Arabidopsis thaliana: one gene and its partners. The protein of the gene in region 3 interacts with the protein of the main gene of each other region in a pairwise test. Each region holds a gene or a part of one and is shown on either strand. Other genes may lie near its edges. The genes, in order: CYC3B, CYCB2;3, CDKB1;2 and KRP6.

Region 1 (6,173 bases), on a different chromosome or scaffold from region 3:
CATAAGAAGAGAATAAGTGATCATGTAAACAATAACACTGTTTTTACCATTTTATAGTGAGAAGTTACCGGTTTAGGCGTCCTGATCTTTGTAAATGAATCTCGTGCGCAATCACGGCGGTAGAGGCTATTGCCATACAGAAAATTATAGGTAAGTCGACTTTGAGAAAAGTATCTGAAGCGGTTTTAAGTCGAGCTACAGACTTAGGGATTTCTTGTTTGTTTAGTGGAGGACTATATAAGGAACTGTAGCTGTGATAACTCAACTTAAGGAACTGAAGTGGGTATAGTTGAGAGTTTTTAAGGAGGAAAAGTGTTGGCGTATCTTCGAATTTTAGGATTTGATTGAATTTGTGGAAGATTGAAGAACTTCAAGCCATGGAAATACATACATTGAAGTATACCTGAAGACTAATTTGACGAATAAAATCAAGCATGGAGGAATCAGTAAAAAGGGGATACCAAATGTTACACGGGAGACGTTAATTGTAGATGGAAATGTTTCCATATGAATATAGCATTGCGAAATCAGAACAAACAACATAACAATCCAGCCATGAACAGTGAAATTTATATTAATTAACACTTTTGTATTCGTTTTCCAAGTGCTCCTAGGTACAAAATCCCGCAGGATAGTAAATAGTTGTAGCAATGCGATTAGAAAAATTCCATAACATTTATTTAAAGCTAAGTGGTGTGACAAGTAATGGCCTACAATTAAGGCGCCACACAATAGCTACAGAATTACAGACAGACAAAACTGGCAAAGAGACGACATAACATCCAATGTCTGAAAATAGGTATTTTGATCACCTGACTTGGGCTCTGTTTTCGATGTTGCTTGGTGTCATCTTGAGAATAGTGATGTGACTCGTTTGGGAGATGTCAGCTTTGCCACGCTCTTAAACTATCAAAGTCATACAGAATTAAAACCAGTTCAATCATTCATTCACTTTTCTTCAACAATCAGTAGTTTGATTTAACGGTGTTTTGTAGAGAAATGTACCTTTGGTTGGTTGTATTTCTCACGGGTGGCAGCGAGAGTACAGCCACTGGTGTTGAGCTGCAAGTCCTCCATGGCGAGAACTGTGTTCTTCAGCTCAGCTACCTCATATCTGGTGTAGTGTTGCAGAGTAGGGTTCTATAACCAAACATCATTCTTTTTATCAGCACAAAAAAGAGGCAAACACAAAAACAACCTTTTTCAAGATTCAAGAAACATGAGCTGACCCAAGGATGGTCAGTTTGGTCGAGTGTCCATCGGGCTAGGAAAACAGCTGAAGCAGCAATTAGTGATGGCAGGAACCTTAGGAAACTATATTCCACCAGTGTCAATTCGGCGAGATAGTTTGCTAAATACTCCAGTTCAATGAAAGGCACCTGCAAAATAATTATAAGAAACAACGCACTACATTCAGATTCCAAGTTTCTGTAGAAGTGAGGGTTGATGATAAATGGATCATGGTTTCATACCTTGTACGAAGCTTGAGCTGCTTTAATGAACCGCCTGAAAAAACATTGGTAAGATGAAAACTCAGTGGTACTATTTTTAAACAAAGTTGGAAAGATATGATGATTCATAGTTCTGCCCTTTAGTATTTACCTCAGAAATGTTTTGGTGGTAGGAACCGATAATCTAAAGTGCACAAAATTTAGAATTTGAATCTCCATGCTCAGCACCTGAAACAAAGATTCCAGTTTATATATTTTCATCAAGAATCTGTACACATTAAAGATACCGAGAGATGTGTGATTTGAATGTTAATTACTTCTGGTCTTGTGTATGTGTTGGCCGTAATGAAGCAAAACTCCTCCACCCCTGGTGCGGAAAGCTCTTCATATTTTCTACAAGGTTCAACAAAAATGTATAAGGAAGATAAGCCTTACTTGTTTCTCTACTTAGCAAGTATACATATATATATAGGTTCGCGCTCTCCCAGTGATGGAAATGCTGTTCTCATTGCTATAACCTGAAATTGACAAACACACACAAACAACAAAGTAGGGACTTACGAAGCTATAAGCATGCAAGAGACACCAAGGAGCTGGAGTCTTTGCCTTTCAATGTAACTGTTGGACAGAAACCGGTCGATAAGATTCACTGTAAGGTAAAGCGTATCTGGAACCAGCTTGTAGTCGTCAGAAACCTGAAAATACCACGCACTTCACTATTTTACTCAAAAGTACTCTCAGTTTTTGCTCTAATTTTTGTAAGAAAGCTATGTATAGTAAGGTTTAGTGTCCTATTCAATAAGAAACATAATAAGATGATGCCGTTATTTATATATATGAGCTAAGTTTGAAGGTAACTAACTTCTACAAGCCAGTCAATCAGAATCTTTCTCATGTCTGGGTCGATATCTCGCTGCACAAGCTCCATATAATTAGCCAAGGGTCGTTGTTGAAGCTGCAAGAAAAGAGAGGTTATAACTCCAACAGTCTTCATATAAGTAGTTATATTGAGATTAGTTACAAGAAGTTAACAGTGGAAAGATGTAAAGCAAATATTTGGATCATGTAATTCAATACCTCTGCAACATGTATGTTGTCATATATATCAGCAGCATACAAGCTGCAACACTGTGGATCTTCGACGTTGGAATCAATATCTACAACTTGAAGTAACTCCATGACACCTGATCCATCTTCTTCTGCACAATCCAGTATAAGATACATACCTTAAGTAAGTTTGAGAAATTCATGTTGGTATAGAGTTCACTTGTTTCAACCCTTGACAACACAAATTTAATGGGAATAACTAATTTCAGCATTCTGGAGTCCAATGCTTGATTTAAAGTTAGCGAGTGATCAACATGACCTCGGAAATGAGGAGAAGGTGGTAACTATCATTATTTTCACGAACACTGTAGTTCTTACGTTGCTCAGTAATTTCTTCATCTTTAAAGTTTGAAAGAGAGACATCTTGGGCTTCAGCCATCCTGATCTTGGACAAATCTTCTGCTAATTTTGATTTTTCTGTATGCATATCTACCAGAATATCCATGGCACTGTTAGCACCTTCCTTTGCTGCTTTTTTAGGCTCTTTTAGACATTTTCTGTTTGCCTGCAACGTGATGTCAACAGTAATAAGCCCAAAGGGAAAGTTTGAAGGCTATATTACCAACATAAGATATAAACCAACCAAGACAATGAAAGCGTATCATCTGAAATCTTTACCTTGATGTTGCCTCCCTTTCGAAGTTCTGAATAAATAATATCTGCAGAGGTATTACTCACATCCTTAAGTACTGCACGTCTCTTTTGCTGATAAACCAGAGGCAGGAAATTAGAGAGTTTAGCATCAGCTCTTGAAATTCATGACTTTCTATAAGAACATGTTTCAGTACCTGTTTAAAAGAAGGTTTTGTTGGAGGTATTGATACTCCTCTTCCCATGGCTTTTTTAGCTCGTGATCTCGTTATTCGTACAAAACTCTCCTGTACATCTGAAGTAGAGATATTTTCTTTGTTTGCATTTGGATGCATCGAAGAAGAGCAATACATAATTTAGTCTGGAAAAAGGCCAGTGGTTAAGCCAAGCCTGCAGAACAACAACAGTTCATAATCAAATGTCTATCCTTGCCTCCATCAAAAAGATCAAGCAATGTTCAAATGCAGCATAAATTTCAGGAAGAAACAAGCATATAGTGGCAATTAAAACGATTTCTTCATACTCAAATTTAGCCACAGATCTCAATTCCACACGATTCTAACTATTGAGTAAATGTCAGCTTAAACAAGCAACCCAGCTTATCACAACTAGTTTCTATGTTTCCTTCACATTAATCTGCATCGATAGATCCAATTTTCAAGCTAGTCATTTCCAAATCGAATTAAGCATTGTTCTTCATAGCAAAAATCCTTTAAAAGACCGATTACTTAAACAAACAATGAGCCATAGAGTACACACACGTTTCATAAAATCCAGTCAAACAGATAAGAACGATCTCAACAATTTCAATTTCCCAGTGATTAGCCATGCTTGAAGAACAAATACGCAGAAACCAAATACAAGCGGAAACAACAAAGAGGAATCGATCATCTCAATCGAAGACCAAAAAACATTCGCTAGAGAGATCGATTAGACTAAAATCCAAACTACTATTAGCTCCGATCGATCAAAACGCAGAGCAACAAGCTACGATTCAGAGAATCGGTAATCAAACAGGAAATTGTGAGCAGACGAGAGGTGATGATGATACCTGGCTCAACAAATAGGTTTATGAGTTTGTGAAGGAGCTCTAATGGCGGTAAGAGAAGCTCAAGGAGAGAAGAGAACGCTCCAGAGAGAGAGAGAGTGTTGAAATATGTGTAGGTGGGGGAGAGAGCGGAGAGGAGCGGGGGAAGCGACTGACTGAAAAAGGTACTGTTTGAAATTCGGATTTTTTTGGATATAACAAAAAAAAAAAATCGGAATTTAAAAAATCTTTCTTTGCTTTTTTTGGAAAAATCTTCAATTTCTTTGGTAAAAAATTGTAAGAATGATTTCTATAATTTGGTCCAAGTTACTATACAAGGAATAGTGCAACTGTCTTTTATTACTACACATATGTTGGAGCTGTCAATTAACAAAAAAAAGTTTATATGTTATGGTAATTTGTTTGTTTTTTAAGAACTACACTACTTCGATAGATAGACAAATTATTGGTCGAGAAATTTCCGACAAACATAAAATGGTAATGACTATTATTTTGAAAACAAAAAATATATTTACCTTACGTAAATTACAGTAATTTCTAATTTGGAAACGAAAATACATTAATAGACATTATATTTACATTAAACGATTCTGTACGATATTATCACCGCAATGTATCTACCATCATTCACGTTTTTAATCGTTGATTTACTTAATCAAATTAAAAGATGTTAATTTAAAATTCATGTATCTGGAAAATACGATCCAAATACACATCAACAAGTGCTCGAGTTCAGATCAATTATAAATTTTTGACATTTTTCTAATTATACACATATTTTCCAACTATTTTACCTTAAAATCAATTTAATATATTTGGTCAATAATATTTATATGTTTATTTCTTTAAAGGGATAAAATAAATTTGAAAAGGAAATGGAGGGAGAAAATAACCACATCCATTGCCTTGCATTCTCACAATTATTTCGAAAGATATTTATTCACATATAGAAATTCAAACATTAGTCAAAAAGGCGTTTCTACCAATTTAACAACATTAATTATATGTATTTGGACATATACGAATCACACGCATACACGGATTCTTACTTGCAAAATAATAAATTGTAAATTATCCAAAAAAATAAATGATAAATTGTATATACATCTTTATAAAAAACAAATTAAATACGTGTGGAGAAGGACTAGAAAGACAATTTCTAAGTTGTATGAGGATATATATCAAATATTCTATATGTAACTTCATTTTAAAATAATGGGCCATGTTGATCGATATTTTCAGTTAACAAACAAAAGCCCAAATGGCGCGTAATCGGAGTGTCCTAATTTTCTCGGCGGACACTTAATTCTAATAAACGGCGGCAGAAAATGAACTCTCTGTTCACCGCCTTCCGCCGCAACCTCCTCTTAAACCCTAATCCTCACCGCAACTTCTTTCTTCATAGATTGTTATCATCATCTCGCCGTTCATCCCCGCTCATTCCCGTCGAGCCTCTCATCCAACGGATACAATCACCCGCCGTACCCGATTCTACATGTACTCCACCGCAACAAAACACCGTCTCGAAAACCGATCTCTCTACTATATCGAATCTTCTCGAGAACACTGATGTTGTTCCCGGTTCGAGTCTCGAGTCAGCTTTAGATGAAACCGGAATCGAACCGAGTGTTGAGTTGGTTCACGCGTTGTTCGATCGGTTAAGTTCATCGCCGATGTTGCTTCACTCAGTGTTCAAATGGGCGGAGATGAAACCTGGGTTTACACTTTCTCCTTCACTTTTCGATTCTGTTGTCAATTCTCTATGTAAAGCTCGTGAATTTGAAATTGCTTGGTCGTTGGTTTTTGATCGAGTGAGAAGCGATGAAGGATCGAATTTGGTTTCTGCAGATACGTTCATCGTTTTGATCAGACGGTATGCTCGTGCTGGTATGCAGATTTCTTGTAGCTTCATCAATATTGCTGATACAAAGAGCTAGCTTAGAGTAATAGAAGCATAAAGCTTTTGACTTTAATAT
Region 2 (5,507 bases), on a different chromosome or scaffold from region 3:
TTAACTTTTGTTTTCGGTTTTTCATTGCTATGTTACAGGATGGTAAGGTATCACAGCTTGAGCATGTCTTCATTCGAGGCAGCAAAGTCAGGTGCTGCAACACTTCTTAGAGAACACTGTAAAACCAAACAAAGGAGAACAAGAGAGATATGTCCAGATGCACTACTAGTTCTGTATTTTGGGTTACCAAGATGTTTGAATCATTGACAAGTTTTCGTTGTGATCTATTTTCTTCTTTGCGCATTCTCCATTTCTGACAGTAGATGAGTAAAACAAAGTACATTGTTTTCATAAAGGTCTTAATAAGACTAAGATCAGAAAACAAAGATAAATTGAAGGAACAAGATTATGAAATACTAGAAGTAATGATTATATCCTCCTTCAATAAAGACTGCAATACTGTAGACTTTGAGTTGTCTAAATAACGTAGTCTATATGGTCATTTATAACATTAATATATAAGCTATAAAAGAATATTGTACTTGTATTTTCATCATGTAAAAACCTTGTCAACTGCAATTTTCCCAAATTACAATCCAAAAAATTGCCATGTACTTGTAGAATATTTGATAGGGTCTAGAGATTCAGTTCCAGAGTACCAAAACGACATGTAGAAGAATATTTGATTCAGTCTAGAGGTTCAGCTCCCGAGTAATATTAACCAAACTGGATCATAGATTTTCCTGAGTCTATACAAGAATCGATTCACAAGTTGAATATAGGAAAGCATGATATCAGAAGATTCTTTTTATTCTCTCTCAAGTGAAGAAAGATCTAAAGACCTTAGAAAGAGAAGAATACACTCTTTTTGGGCTACTTGCCATGATATCTAAAGATCCATTCTTCTCCCATTTTGGGCAACTTGCTCTACTATCTCTCTTTCTCTCACACTCTTTTTGTTCTAAAGAAAAACTCGAGTTAAGTCATATTAGATTCTTATTAATATTAAATCAGAAACCCAGCTGGTTCAGTTCTTGCAGCATGACAGAACTTAGATGTGTTGTACTTTCTGTGAACTCCTGTGAGCTTCCCTGTTCCTGCCTTGTGATGGAAAGCAACCATCTTTCTCGCACATGCCCTAGAAAAAACACAAAAACCCACTGTCAGGATACCAAAATCTCATGTCATGGGGTTTTCAAAAAAATCAATGTATGTTCTTACAGTAGCTGTTTTTCGTTGTAGCCTGTGTGAAACTCACAGGTTTTGCTCCATTCTTCAAATCCCTTAAGTGTACACTGAGCAGTGTAGATTGCTGAGGCCGCCAGCTTAGATGGAAGATACTCTAGCATCTCATACTCCACAAGGCAAAGCTCGATCATAAAGAATGATAAAATCTCAAGCTGAAACCACAATTGCATATACCACACCGATTTAGATATTAGGCCTGATGGTTTCCGGATATAATGATTCAAGCTTTTTTAGTTAGGGAGATATATACCTTCTTGTCAGATTGGGCAGCTTTGAGAAATCGTTTCATGAAAACATATGGAGTTGGTAGAGAGAAATTGAATTGCAAGGTGTTGGCCATTAGCTTCTCCTGCAATAGAAACCAAAAACAGGTAAATTCAACTATGAAGCATCAACCAGTGGTAGTTAATGATCAAGACAAAGTTGTGTATTCACCATATCTAGCACTTCTCTTCTAGAGTAAGCTTTGTCAGAGATCAAGATGAGATCATCTACCACTGGAACTGAAACTTCTTCATATTTACATGCAAGCAACAAAGCAGTAACACCAACAAGCTGAAGCTTTTTCCTCACGATTTGATGAACCGCAAGGAATCTGTCGATGACATTGATTGTGAGATAAAGAGTTTCCTCCATCAGTTCAAACTTGTAGTGCACCTGGACAAGATAATTTTCCAGTCAATTTATCTTCAGGCACATTGAGACAAAAAAAGTGGCATTAAATAGCTTTTGTCTAGATCTGTCTACCTCAATTAACCAGTCAATGAGGATTCCTCTCATTCTCTCATTAAGATCTTGTTGATTGTCCATATAGTTAGGAGGCACGCAACTAAGTTTCTGCAGAATCATAAGAATGAATCAAACATAAGTACAAGATTTTGAAACTACAATCCTTTCGATGATAAAGAACACAAAAGCAAAAGTTGATGTGAAACAAGACAAATTCACCTCAAAATTCTTGTAGAAGGTATGCATATCATGGATATATTCAACCGCAGCCAAAGGATTATTCTTATCACAGGCATCAATATCGATCACAGGCTCTTCTTCTTTGTCTGCATCTTCCATTTCAATCTCCTTCTCCTTTTGAAAGACACAAACAATATGAGTAACTATATTAACACTTCCATAAACAAAGCAAAGAATGGTTAGGAAATATGTATACCATCTGTTCAATCTCCTCCAGCATTGCTTCAGTATGTTGTACAAACATTGGCTCATTAGAGTCACCTCCTTCTTTATCACTTTCATCCACATCAATGATAATCGTCTCTGGTTCTTCACTTGAAACTGAGTCTGGTTTCTTAGTTTCCTAAGAGTTAAAGATCAGAACTTTAAAATCCGGTCTATATCATCATTGCTCTAAATGAAACATACATTGAACAATAGGGTACCTCATCACGGATATGTGGCTTATGATCTGCTAACTGAGCAGCAAACTTCCTGAACCAACAGAGAGTAGTAAAAGTTAAGTAATCAGACAATGTGAGATACTCAAAGTAGACAAGAGTAAAGATCTATGCTTACCTAGTAACTGGTCGATGCACAGGTGGTTTATTACAAATGCCATCTCTTCTGCAAAGTCACAGAAAGAAATAGGGTTCCTATAAGAGTCTAATCAAAGGGAGAAGAAAAAAAAAACACTAATCTTGAATCTGAGGATTAAAGTGAACTTACTCAGAAACTGATCTCTTGTTGACAGCATAAGGGTAAGACGGCGCTTCAGTGATGTTCTTGTTAATAGTACTTAGTGCTCTTCTTGTCGGTCCTGTTGTTGCCGTCGTCTTGATCTTTCCTACTACTCCTCCCCCTACATCAAGTAAATTCAAAATCAATTTGGGGGAAAAATCAAAGAGAACGAAAGTTTTGATTTTTAATAACAAAATCGATCGATTTAGGGTACCTTGGAGACTCATTGATCCGATTAATCCAAGGCTATTTTCATCTGATCTAACCATTTTCTTCTTCTTCGTTATCTGCGGAAGTTATTTATTTTCATTAAATCTCTTCTCTTGAAGAAATCAAATTTCAAAATCGAAACATCCCCCAACTTAAAAGCAGGGGTTTTCAAAATTGAAACTAAAAAAACAGTCTTGACAATCAAAACCCTATAGATCCGGTTTAATAATCTCAATGAAAGACCCAATCAAGAACAACAAAGACCTAAATCTCAAATACCCAGAAGATAACGAAAACCCACGAATTGGTTTTTCAAAAAAATCACCTTTTCACAGTCAATTCAAAGAACCAACGCGAGATTAAGTCGACCCTTGATCATAAATTCTTATGAAACCCAGTGAATCTCCTAAACCCTAATAGTCTTTTATCCCGTTGGATCCAAGTTGATCAAACAAAGGAGAGAAAGAGAGATCTTTTAGTAAAACCCAAAGATTCAACCACGCTCTCTTTCTCTCTAATGGCTTCGGTTTTGAAGATACTTCCCACTCTCTCTCTATCTCTCTTTATAAGGGTAAAGAAAAAAAGAAAAAAAAAAGAGTAAGATTGATTTTGAAGATTAGAAGAGCGTCTATAGTGTATTAGTTTTCTTTAAAATTAACGGCTAGTTCATCTCAGCCGTTGGATCAACGCCACGTGTTCCAGATCGAAAGTTGTCTTCTATTCAACGGTTATAATTGTATATCATCTATGTATAGATTTATTCAAATTCTTTGATTTTTTTTTCTTTTATTCTATTTTGGGGAAGACAACTATTTTTATTTTATTTTTGAAAATTACACCATGAAATAATATTCATTTCTATAAAAACAAATAAAACACTTCTATTTAAAAGAATCAAATATGTCTCCTTTGACCAAAGACCAAGATTCGTTTATATTAATCTCAAGTTAAATGATTTTCTTTTTCAAGCAAGAAATCTCACACAAAGTTTAGATTTTCTTCAAGTGTATCATTAGAATATTATACTACAAGGGCAAAGAAAAAAAGAAAAAATAAAGAATAATAGAGATTTTGAAGACTAGAAGAGCGGATATATTGTCTGTATAATATCTTTAAAATTAACAGCTAGTTGCCTAGTTCATATCAGCTGTTGGATTAATGCCACGTGTTCCAAATCGAAAGTTGCCTTATGTTCAACGGCTATCATTGTTTTTCATCCATGTGTATGTGTACTTATTCAAATTCTTTGGGTTTTTTTTGTTTTCAATAACAAATATCTCGGTAATATTTATTAGGTTAACATGATAACAAAATATTTATATCAATAAATTTATAATTATGTCATGCTAAGTCATTTTGAATCGCAATAAGTTATAACTTATGTGATATATTTATATTTACCGTCTTAACTCATTTATTATATCATATAAAAAAATTAACGAGTTACTATAACGTGCAAAATATGAATTTCATCCAATAAGATTATTATTGTCACTACCTCTAGATAAAGTATTAGTTAACTCGGTAATTTGATTGTTAACCAATTTGAACTGAATCTGAACAAAAACTATCATTGTCGTAATCTTCACAGGTACAGTGGTATGGCAATAAGAATAGTTATATAATATAGAGGTATTATTGTATTTGCCACAAAAATAGTGTAAGATAAACAGTAGAAAAAAATGGACTTAATTTTCGATTCTTCCGAGTAAGAATGATAATACCCTTCCCTTTTTTATTTTGGGAAAGACAACTATTTTTATTTTATTTTCGAAAATTACACTATATAATATACATTTCTATAATAACAAATAAAATACTATTATTTAAAAAATCAAATACATCACCTTTGACCAAAAACCAAGACTCGTTTAAGAAATCAAATACATTTATATTAATCTCAAGTTAAATGATTTTCTTTTTCGAGTAAGAAATCTCACACAAAGTTTAGACCTTCTTCAAGTGTATCATTAGAATATCGTACTATATTTTTATGGGAAAAAGATATATAGAGTTGTTTACATGATAATGGCATTGATATACTGCATTTACTATCAATCACTTTTAAATCAATCAAGTCATTTGTGTAGAAGTGTGAACATTGCGTTTCTATGTAGAAACACAACAATAGCATTTTGTTTCCATTGATATAGATACATTAAATAAATATGATATGCCATTAGGTTAAGTTTGAGATCATTCTATAAGTTCTTGTTTCAGATTTTTGTTATTGGCATTTAAATTGACATGTATATCTTTTAGGTTGCATAAGTTCTCAGTCTCTTGTAATTAATATCCGTTTAATGAATACAACTGTTTTTTTTTCCATTACAGGTTGGCCCAAAACTTACCCACCAGACTAGAGCCCATTAGTATCTTAGATAATAGATATATTAGGCTTGGTGGGCCTGTGGCACAAA
Region 3 (4,097 bases):
TAAATATTAATGAGATATTAATTTTTTAAAAAGAAAACAATGAGACATTTGTATTTAGCGCAAAAACCACGTGATGTTCTTTAAAACTGTTTTGAATTTATTACAAAAAAACATTCTAAATAATTTTGAATTGCTTAATTAGTTTGGATTTTAAAAGCTGAAAGAAAGACACAATAACTTAAAATAATCCAAAGAGTCATGCTTAAATAAATCCAACCAACATAACTATCGAAGCTGTTGCAACACAACAATATTTGTCACAAAAAAAAAACAATCGTTTCAGATGGACAAGATATTCTAAAGTAAAGACTTGTCAAGCATTAACTTTGAAGAGAAGATTGTATTGGCTGAGTGATAGGGTTCTCTTCATCCATTGTTTTCTGTTTTTTCCTTGGTCGTCCTTGAGGTTTCTTGGGTGGTTTTGGCATTGCTTTACACTTGCATGAACGTTTGTTGTGTCCGACTTGTTGACAATTGCTGCAAGTCTAAATATGCAAAGATTAAATTTAATAATTTGAAAATGAAGATCTTGTGAAACATAATTCATTGTTCTCTATTTTACCATTTAAACTTTTTCACGTGTATAAAGAACTTTTTGAGGTGGACGATCTTCAGTTGGATCACGGATTCTGTCATTGTTCTTTGGTCGATTTTTGGAAATTAATATCCCATTAATATTTAATTACTATGGGGTTAAGTTTATTAACAGGTTTTAGTTCAGAGTTTGTTTTACTAAAAACATAGTTCAGAATTTAAAAATAGATCTGACCAAAGCTGACGGTTTTTTTCATTAAATTCCCTTAATAAAATGGTTGCAAATAAGTTTATTGACCCTAGTAAATCAGTAACGGTTTTTCATAATCAACTTTAAAGTCTTTAAGCCATTTTCTTTCGTTTAGTCAATGCCCTATCATTGAATATTATCTTTGTTTTCTTTTTCATTATTGTAATTTTCTTTTATGTATAGTAGTCCAATAATTTTTTAATATTCAGCCATTGTTTAGTTTCCACATGAAACACACAATTTGTTTATAATCTTGTTTTTCTTTCCCCTTTACATAGAACTTCTTATGATGATTTTTATGAGTTTGTGAAATTGCATACCTTGCACATTCGTAGACCTAGTCAGAATTTTTGTTGTTGTTGTAGTATCTTTATTGTAAAAAGAAATGGTTTTCTTAATGTAACTATCGATCAAAACTGATGCAATTACCATACATGAAATTGGAATGAGTGTAAGAAGAATATAAAGTTGAAATAAATCAAAAATGTGAAACTGAATCAATATCATATGAAGTTGAATCATGTATACTAGAAGCCTAGAACACAAGAAACAACCCACCATTAATGAATAATGAGTAAGAGTTCACAGTCCCAAAATAATTGAAGTTACAAATTCGAACACAAAAAATCAAACCTAAACATTTTTCCAATTGGTTGAGTAAGTGAAAAAAAACTACGTAGTAAGAAATTCTTTTTTTGAGTTTGTGCCAAACATTGAACATTAACGTATAAGGAGAAAACTAATGGGATACAAGCTAAAACAGTTATAGTCTTATTAATTAGTATGTTAAATACTAGATTAAAGTTAAAATGAAGTTGGAAAAGCTCGAAGTTTCAACCAATTAATGCGAAATGATCGACTCTTCAAGTAATATTAATAGTTTAGCAAAATAAATGACTGAAAAATCTTTATTATGGGTTGTGGCTGCAAGCATGAGCTTAGCTTTTTGTACTCAGGGCCGGCTTTACATCAAAGATCATGCATAGATTCATTCAACTAAACATTCACCATGGATAATGAATTGAAATCTATAAACATAATCAAGCAAATATCTTATACTATACTTATCTGTTTAAAATGACTTTGAGTCTTTGACTAATAAAATATTATTGGTACGTGTGAAGCGTGCGAGGGATTCAAATGTTAAACGTTATAGCAAAGAGGCGCCTTTATTTACCAGATCTAAAATCGAAAAGGGGCTTTAGGGTTTATAAGACCCAAACAAAAAACATTCATCAGTCTCAATTCAAAATCCTCCATCAATGGAGAAATACGAGAAGCTCGAAAAGGTCGGTGAAGGAACCTATGGAAAAGTCTACAAAGCAATGGAGAAAACCACCGGAAAACTCGTCGCTCTGAAGAAAACTAGGCTCGAAATGGACGAAGAAGGTATACCACCAACGGCTCTCCGTGAGATCTCTCTTCTCCAAATGCTTTCTCAATCAATCTACATCGTTCGTCTCCTCTGCGTCGAACATGTTATTCAATCGAAAGATTCGACTGTTTCTCACTCTCCCAAATCCAATCTCTATCTCGTTTTTGAGTATCTCGACACTGATCTCAAGAAATTTATAGATTCTCATAGAAAGGGCTCGAATCCTAGACCGCTTGAGGCTTCTCTTGTGCAGAGGTTTATGTTTCAGCTTTTTAAAGGTGTGGCTCATTGTCATAGCCATGGTGTGCTTCACCGTGATCTTAAACCGCAGAATCTTCTATTGGATAAGGATAAAGGGATTCTTAAGATTGCTGATTTGGGTCTTAGTCGTGCTTTTACTGTGCCTCTTAAGGCTTATACACATGAGATTGTTACTCTTTGGTATAGAGCTCCTGAAGTTTTGCTTGGTTCTACTCATTACTCTACTGCTGTTGATATTTGGTCTGTTGGATGCATCTTTGGTTAGTAATCAGCTACTATGTCTCTTTTAATGGTCTTTTGTTCTACTGTTTGGATTACTGATGTTTCCCCATTTTTTTGTAGCCGAGATGATTAGGAGGCAAGCTCTTTTCCCTGGTGATTCTGAGTTTCAGCAACTACTTCATATTTTCAGGTATTTGCTTCTTGTTTTTGATGCCAATGTGTATGTATACAGGAACCAGTTTAGGACTTTAGCCCATTAGGTTCAGTACTCGTGAACTCATTTGGATTATGGGGACTGTCTAGTATCAATATATCTGAAGTATGGTTTTGTTTTGGGTTCTGGAGATTGTTAGGAACACCAACTGAGCAGCAATGGCCGGGTGTAATGGCATTGCGTGACTGGCATGTCTATCCAAAGTGGGAGCCGCAAGACTTATCACGTGCTGTTCCATCTCTATCTCCTGAAGGAATTGATCTTCTCACGGTAATGCTCTTTTCTAAAATATGACCATTGTTGGAGAAGTGGCCTAAGATTCTCTTGCATACTTGATCTCTTTAGTAGATTCTTTCTGTTGGGGTTCGTTCCTAGTTGATGATAATTTGTTTTGAACCTTTGAACAATTGCAGCAAATGTTGAAGTACAATCCAGCAGAAAGAATTTCAGCAAAAGCAGCTCTCGATCATCCCTACTTTGACAGCCTTGACAAATCTCAGTTCTGACCTCTGCCAAATTACTGATCAGGCTTCTCTTTGGAGTTCTGAAGCTGATGGCTCAAGTTTATTGTCTTGGTGTCTTATGCTGTGTGCTTTAGAAAGATTTGTACTTAAACTAAACAATCTGAAAACCTTGTTTGTTCAGCGAGAGTGAGAGAATCTTCTTTAAGTGGCCAATTTTATTTGTTCATGTAAACAAGTCTATCAAAGCAAAAATGGTTAACCCTATTAAGCAGACAAATCATTAGTGTACATAAATGAGAGACGAATTTGAAATATTTGCTGTTTCATTACAACGACAATTGCTACTCAAACACACAAGTAAATTACATATCTCATGATATTACACAATTGAGAAACAGAACAAGATACAGAGATCTCTTGTATTAATGTAAAAAAAACAAAACAAATGATGAGTAGCTTCAATTAGACCAGACATGGAGGAGGCCGTGTCTGTTTCCTGTGTATATTTCATTCCGTTCTTCGTCGTAGAAGAGAGCGGTTATGTCTTCCAAAGCCTCAGCAACCGCACTTCTCCTTCGAGAGGAATTCCCCAAATCACTACTGCTGCAGTCCTCTTCCTTAGGAGGACCATTATTTGCTTTTATCTTAGCTAAGCATTTACCAGTCAAGATATTGCTTATGTTAATCGACCCCGCTACATCAACAACCAAAATCACGACAATGTCTCAATAGCAAAACAAAATCAGACCATGAGGTTTCTTGATTTGAAGAGTGGAT
Region 4 (3,980 bases), on a different chromosome or scaffold from region 3:
TGATGAGATTAACCTTTTTTAATGCGTTACCAAAAAGCTAATCCACGTAAATATATCCTATGTAATCGTTTTTATATAGTATCACTCATTGATGATATTTTGTTACAGTAACACACTTCATTAGGATAAATTACTACTCCGCATAGGCCGCTTTTTGGTTTTATCTAATGAAGGCCAAAATGGTTTTAACTAAGTGGACCCTGTGTTTAGTGCCAAAATAGAGGAATATTCCAAAATAAAATAAAAGAATATTAGTGAAAAAAATAGAAAAAATATAATATTTGTATTTTGTATGATCGCAGTTTTTAGAGAAGTACAAACCAACTGTATTACTGTGCCGTCATGTCATGTACCTTTCCTCTTTTCTCCAATTTTTTTTTTAAAACATCAATTTTTGGTTTCAGATATTTTTGTAAATTGGGTACTATATGACATGAAACATTTAAATATAACATAAACTGCAAGTGTAAGAATAAGAATGACATGAGACAAACAAAAAATAATAGTTTTGAGTAAGATAAAATAATTGTAATAATTAAGCATCCAATGTTTTAAAAGAATCCAAACAAGAAGCACCTTTCTATATTCATGCACTTAAAACTCTGCCAAAACCATTTTTGATTTTAAAACAGAAACATAACAAACCAACGAAATCACCGTAATTAGTAGCCAAGATCCGAAATTTCATTATAAAGGTCGTGTTTTTTGTTTTGTTTTGTACGAACTAGTAACATAGGTTTTTAAAGAGAAATAGACTAGAGCTGTACAAGTGGAAATGTTAACCACGAAAAACAAAACCTATTTTTCTTTTGTCTTCTTCATGGATGGTATTTGCTTTTTGATGGCTTAAAGTCGATCCCACTTGTAGCGACCTTCAAGCGGTTCGTCATTGACAATATCGAAGTTGTACCTGTGCCAAAGTGTGTGTGTTCGTTAGGATTCTGATTCTCTCTCTTTTTAGGATATTTGCTAAACTACGCGTCGGTTAATCTTTTTATCATGCGCACGCAGACATTTTTACTCACATTCCTCTCTCTCTCTCTCTAGGTACGGACTCACTCCAATTTTTCCCAAACCCCAAAAAGCAAAGCGCACACAACAACAACAAGAACACACGTGAGAGAGATGATGAAATTGTAAAAATGGACTCACTTTTCTATGAATTGCTTCTTCTTATCGTCTTGACTCTCTAGCTCCGAGAACAAATCCTCAATCTCCGCCGCCGTTGGAGTCTTCCTCACCCCCGGTTGTTTTCTCTTCGTTGCCGATGATGATTCCATTTCTGTTGTCGTTTCTCCCAAACCCTCACTCACTGGACTCGTCTCTTTTCTGCCATAAAAAACAGAGAAAAAATCGCCAAGGAGAATAAAATCGATTGAACGTCTAATTTGGGGGGGGGGGGAAACAAAAAGATTATGAACCTGAAATTGCTGGTGATGAATGTTGAGGTTTCGGTTTCGGTTTCGATTTGATGATCCTGAAACACAGAAACGGAAATAAAAAATCAAAACGAAAACTGAGAAAATCGTCTGATTAAATCGATTCAAGTAGAGAGGAGTTATTTGATTTTGAAAATTCACCTCCAGATCTACACCAAACGACGAACTGTTCTTCGCGATTTCTTTCGATTCACTGGTGAAACAACCGGAGCTGATACTCGAGGACTGATCACTTTCTTCTCCACCGATGGTAACGGAACATTCATCAGACGCTAAAGCCGCCGACGAAGCAACGGAAGAAGATGAAACCGCGAAGACGATGACGTCATGAGAGTCCGGTGATGAATCAGAAGAATCATTAAGCTTCGTTTTCTTCAGTGGTGAGAAGCTTGTGCTTGAAGCTTCTTCTGCAAGCTCTCGCTTTCTCTCGCTCATTTTTTTCTCTCTTGGATTTTTGTGTGCTCTCTCTCTCTGCTTTTTTTTCTTTCTATTTCTGGTTCGCTTCTTAACAAAGCAGAGGAGATTTTGGTGGGGAAGGAGAGAGAATGAATCATGAGCCGTTGATTATTTCAACGGTTGAGATTTTATTTTCCTTGGTGAGCGGACGGAGGTTATGGTATATAACGGCGCCGTTACGGAGTTTCGCTTTTATTTTCTTACACAAACGCCGTTGAGATTCCCAAACGCGTTTTCTCTCCCTTTTTGCCGTTTTTGCCTTTTTGGCTTCCTTTCAAAGCAATTGAAAACGCAATCATTTTCGGTAGTTATGACGTAGTAGCAACGTAACAGTAGTCATTATTTTTTCTTAAAACGATTTAAAGTATGAGTAAACCACAACTCTATTTAATTCGATTTGTTTAGGAACAAGTCTTATTTGGTCAGGGTCTATGAGAACCATCGAACAAGTCTTTTCTCGTAATTGGGTTTTATATTTTATGAGAATCAATTAAAAGCTAAAACCAATGATGTGACATATATCGAGGGTATATATATGAATGGTTGAGGTGTGAATAGAGATTTGTCAAATTAGCTTGATCCCTTCCATTGTACGCGTTTTATCATGGTTTTGAGATGGATATGTTAACATCCAGAACATAGTGTTGAAATCTTTTAATGTTAAAACTATCACGTAATTAAGGTTAATCAACCTTTTTTGAAAAACAATTAGTTCATAAACTTACTTAGATGGTCAAATATCATAAGCAATTAGACAAACTATTCCTTACAATATTTCAAATGAAGATACTAGCTATAATTACACAACAGAAGATACATGGTTAACCAATTTATAAAATACTTAGAAAAGAATTGTGGTGGTCGGAACAATAAATTAGAGATACCTATAGCAGAAGATACATCGATTAACTACATTCTATAAAATCATCTGTACTATTATATATGTTTGTCGGAACATGTCTAGAAGCGCCTCGTTAATTTACGTTTAAAACAATACTATAATTTTGTTACATAGTCAATTTTGTAAGAACCTACATCTTATAAACCAATTATACAACTTTTTGGTTCGTATCATCACCAAGACCATGAAATCAATGACGAATCAAATAATGCTTGAATCTGGAAAGGGAATAACAGTTTGGGGTTTGCTTAGTAGAAACATCAATTATGTCATATAGAGACTAACTCAGCTTAAGTCTAATTAATCTCTTGTTTATGCTTAGTTGTCTTTTTGAAAGTTTCCATGCATGTGTAAGTTTCTTCCACTGATCAGATACACATCAACAACAGATTTTGTCCTCTATGTCATTTTAATGACATATGTATTATGAAATAATGTACATGTGTTAAAACCATAATATAGCACCATAGAGAATGAGCCATTAAAGCTCAACTAAACTGTCCGTACAGTTAAAACCAATTGTAAACAACTAAACTCAATTCTCGTCTTAAAGAGCCCATATATGTATATATATATACAAAATGGCCAGAACGGTTTACAAATTTAAGCATATACTATAATTAAATTTTAGTGTAACTACTTCTTTATTCTTCCAATAAATGGGACCATTTTCAATAAATTTTAGTAATAAAAGGAATCATCGAGTAATAATTAAGTGACTGATGCAACAACGAATTCGCTGACCTAGGCATTTATTTAGGAATTATTAAGACAAATCAAGAGGGAATGATATAATTCAAAATAATTTATTCAGTGACCATTGTAATCCATATGATCATATATAGTCCTGAATAGGGTCGTCCTAAACTTTTAAAAAAATTGATAGAACTTTTCAATAAAAATTTCGCCTATCATTTCAAATCTTTTCTCATTTGTATGAATATATAATAACACTATCAATCAATAATCAAATATTTTTTTGTTACATTGTTGATTAGCTAGTTAGAAAAATGTAAAGATAAGTTGATTTTGTATGTTAAGATAGTTTCTATGTCACTTCCTACTATTAATTTGTATGTTAAGATAATTTTTTACTATGTAGAAAACTCTATGTCAAGATTAAAATAATTTTGACTGCCAAGAAAATTTTGATTGCAATACTTAGATATAAAAAGAAAAAAAGT

What was found.
Region 1: the proteins of CDKB1;2 (region 3) and CYC3B interact in a two-hybrid assay, tested with the Arabidopsis thaliana proteins (one large-scale study listed by BioGRID).
Region 2: the proteins of CDKB1;2 (region 3) and CYCB2;3 interact in a protein complementation assay, tested with the Arabidopsis thaliana proteins (one large-scale study listed by BioGRID).
Region 4: the proteins of CDKB1;2 (region 3) and KRP6 interact in a protein complementation assay, tested with the Arabidopsis thaliana proteins (one large-scale study listed by BioGRID).

Annotation. Positions count from the first base shown.
Region 1 is NC_003076.8:3,600,965-3,607,137, forward strand, and holds CYC3B (mitotic-like cyclin 3B from Arabidopsi), read right to left. Parts: upstream 4,387-6,173; 5' UTR 4,201-4,386; intron 3,540-4,200; 5' UTR 3,503-3,539; coding exon 3,347-3,502; intron 3,264-3,346; coding exon 3,177-3,263; intron 3,064-3,176; coding exon 2,877-3,063; intron 2,651-2,876; coding exon 2,529-2,650; intron 2,407-2,528; coding exon 2,314-2,406; intron 2,147-2,313; coding exon 2,013-2,146; intron 1,845-2,012; coding exon 1,769-1,844; intron 1,680-1,768; coding exon 1,603-1,679; intron 1,507-1,602; coding exon 1,473-1,506; intron 1,380-1,472; coding exon 1,230-1,379; coding exon of another isoform or gene 1,141-1,229; coding exon 1,006-1,140; intron 907-1,005; coding exon 847-906; 3' UTR 549-846; downstream 1-548. Other genes in the region: AT5G11310 (Pentatricopeptide repeat (PPR) superfamily protein), read left to right, coding at 5,526-6,084.
Region 2 is NC_003070.9:7,134,128-7,139,634, forward strand, and holds CYCB2;3 (Cyclin B2;3), read right to left. Parts: upstream 3,702-5,507; 5' UTR 3,413-3,701; intron 3,165-3,412; 5' UTR 3,147-3,164; coding exon 3,092-3,146; intron 2,999-3,091; coding exon 2,866-2,998; intron 2,764-2,865; coding exon 2,716-2,763; intron 2,632-2,715; coding exon 2,583-2,631; intron 2,501-2,582; coding exon 2,354-2,500; intron 2,272-2,353; coding exon 2,137-2,271; intron 2,026-2,136; coding exon 1,936-2,025; intron 1,846-1,935; coding exon 1,624-1,845; intron 1,538-1,623; coding exon 1,439-1,537; intron 1,341-1,438; coding exon 1,162-1,340; intron 1,079-1,161; coding exon 946-1,078; 3' UTR 532-945; downstream 1-531. Other genes in the region: AT1G20600 (AP2/B3-like transcriptional factor family protein), read left to right, coding at 39-110.
Region 3 is NC_003071.7:16,150,505-16,154,601, forward strand, and holds CDKB1;2 (cyclin-dependent kinase B1;2), read left to right. Parts: upstream 1-1,968; 5' UTR 1,969-2,046; coding exon 2,047-2,680; intron 2,681-2,762; coding exon 2,763-2,832; coding exon of another isoform or gene 2,833-2,902; exon of another isoform or gene 2,903-2,987; coding exon 2,988-3,126; exon of another isoform or gene 3,127-3,269; coding exon 3,270-3,362; 3' UTR 3,363-3,582; downstream 3,583-4,097. Other genes in the region: AT2G38630 (Transducin/WD40 repeat-like superfamily protein), read right to left, coding at 3,779-4,014. UniProt on the Arabidopsis thaliana protein: Together with CDKB1-1, promotes both the last division in the stomatal cell lineage as well as the number of stomata.
Region 4 is NC_003074.8:6,615,782-6,619,761, forward strand, and holds KRP6 (KIP-related protein 6), read right to left. Parts: upstream 2,171-3,980; 5' UTR 1,875-2,170; coding exon 1,581-1,874; intron 1,478-1,580; coding exon 1,422-1,477; coding exon of another isoform or gene 1,330-1,421; coding exon 1,153-1,329; coding exon of another isoform or gene 1,149-1,152; exon of another isoform or gene 911-1,148; coding exon 847-910; 3' UTR 549-846; downstream 1-548. UniProt on the Arabidopsis thaliana protein: Binds and inhibits CYCD2-1/CDKA-1 complex kinase activity. Regulates cell division which is crucial for plant growth, development and morphogenesis. May inhibit CDK kinases specifically involved in the G1/S phase transition.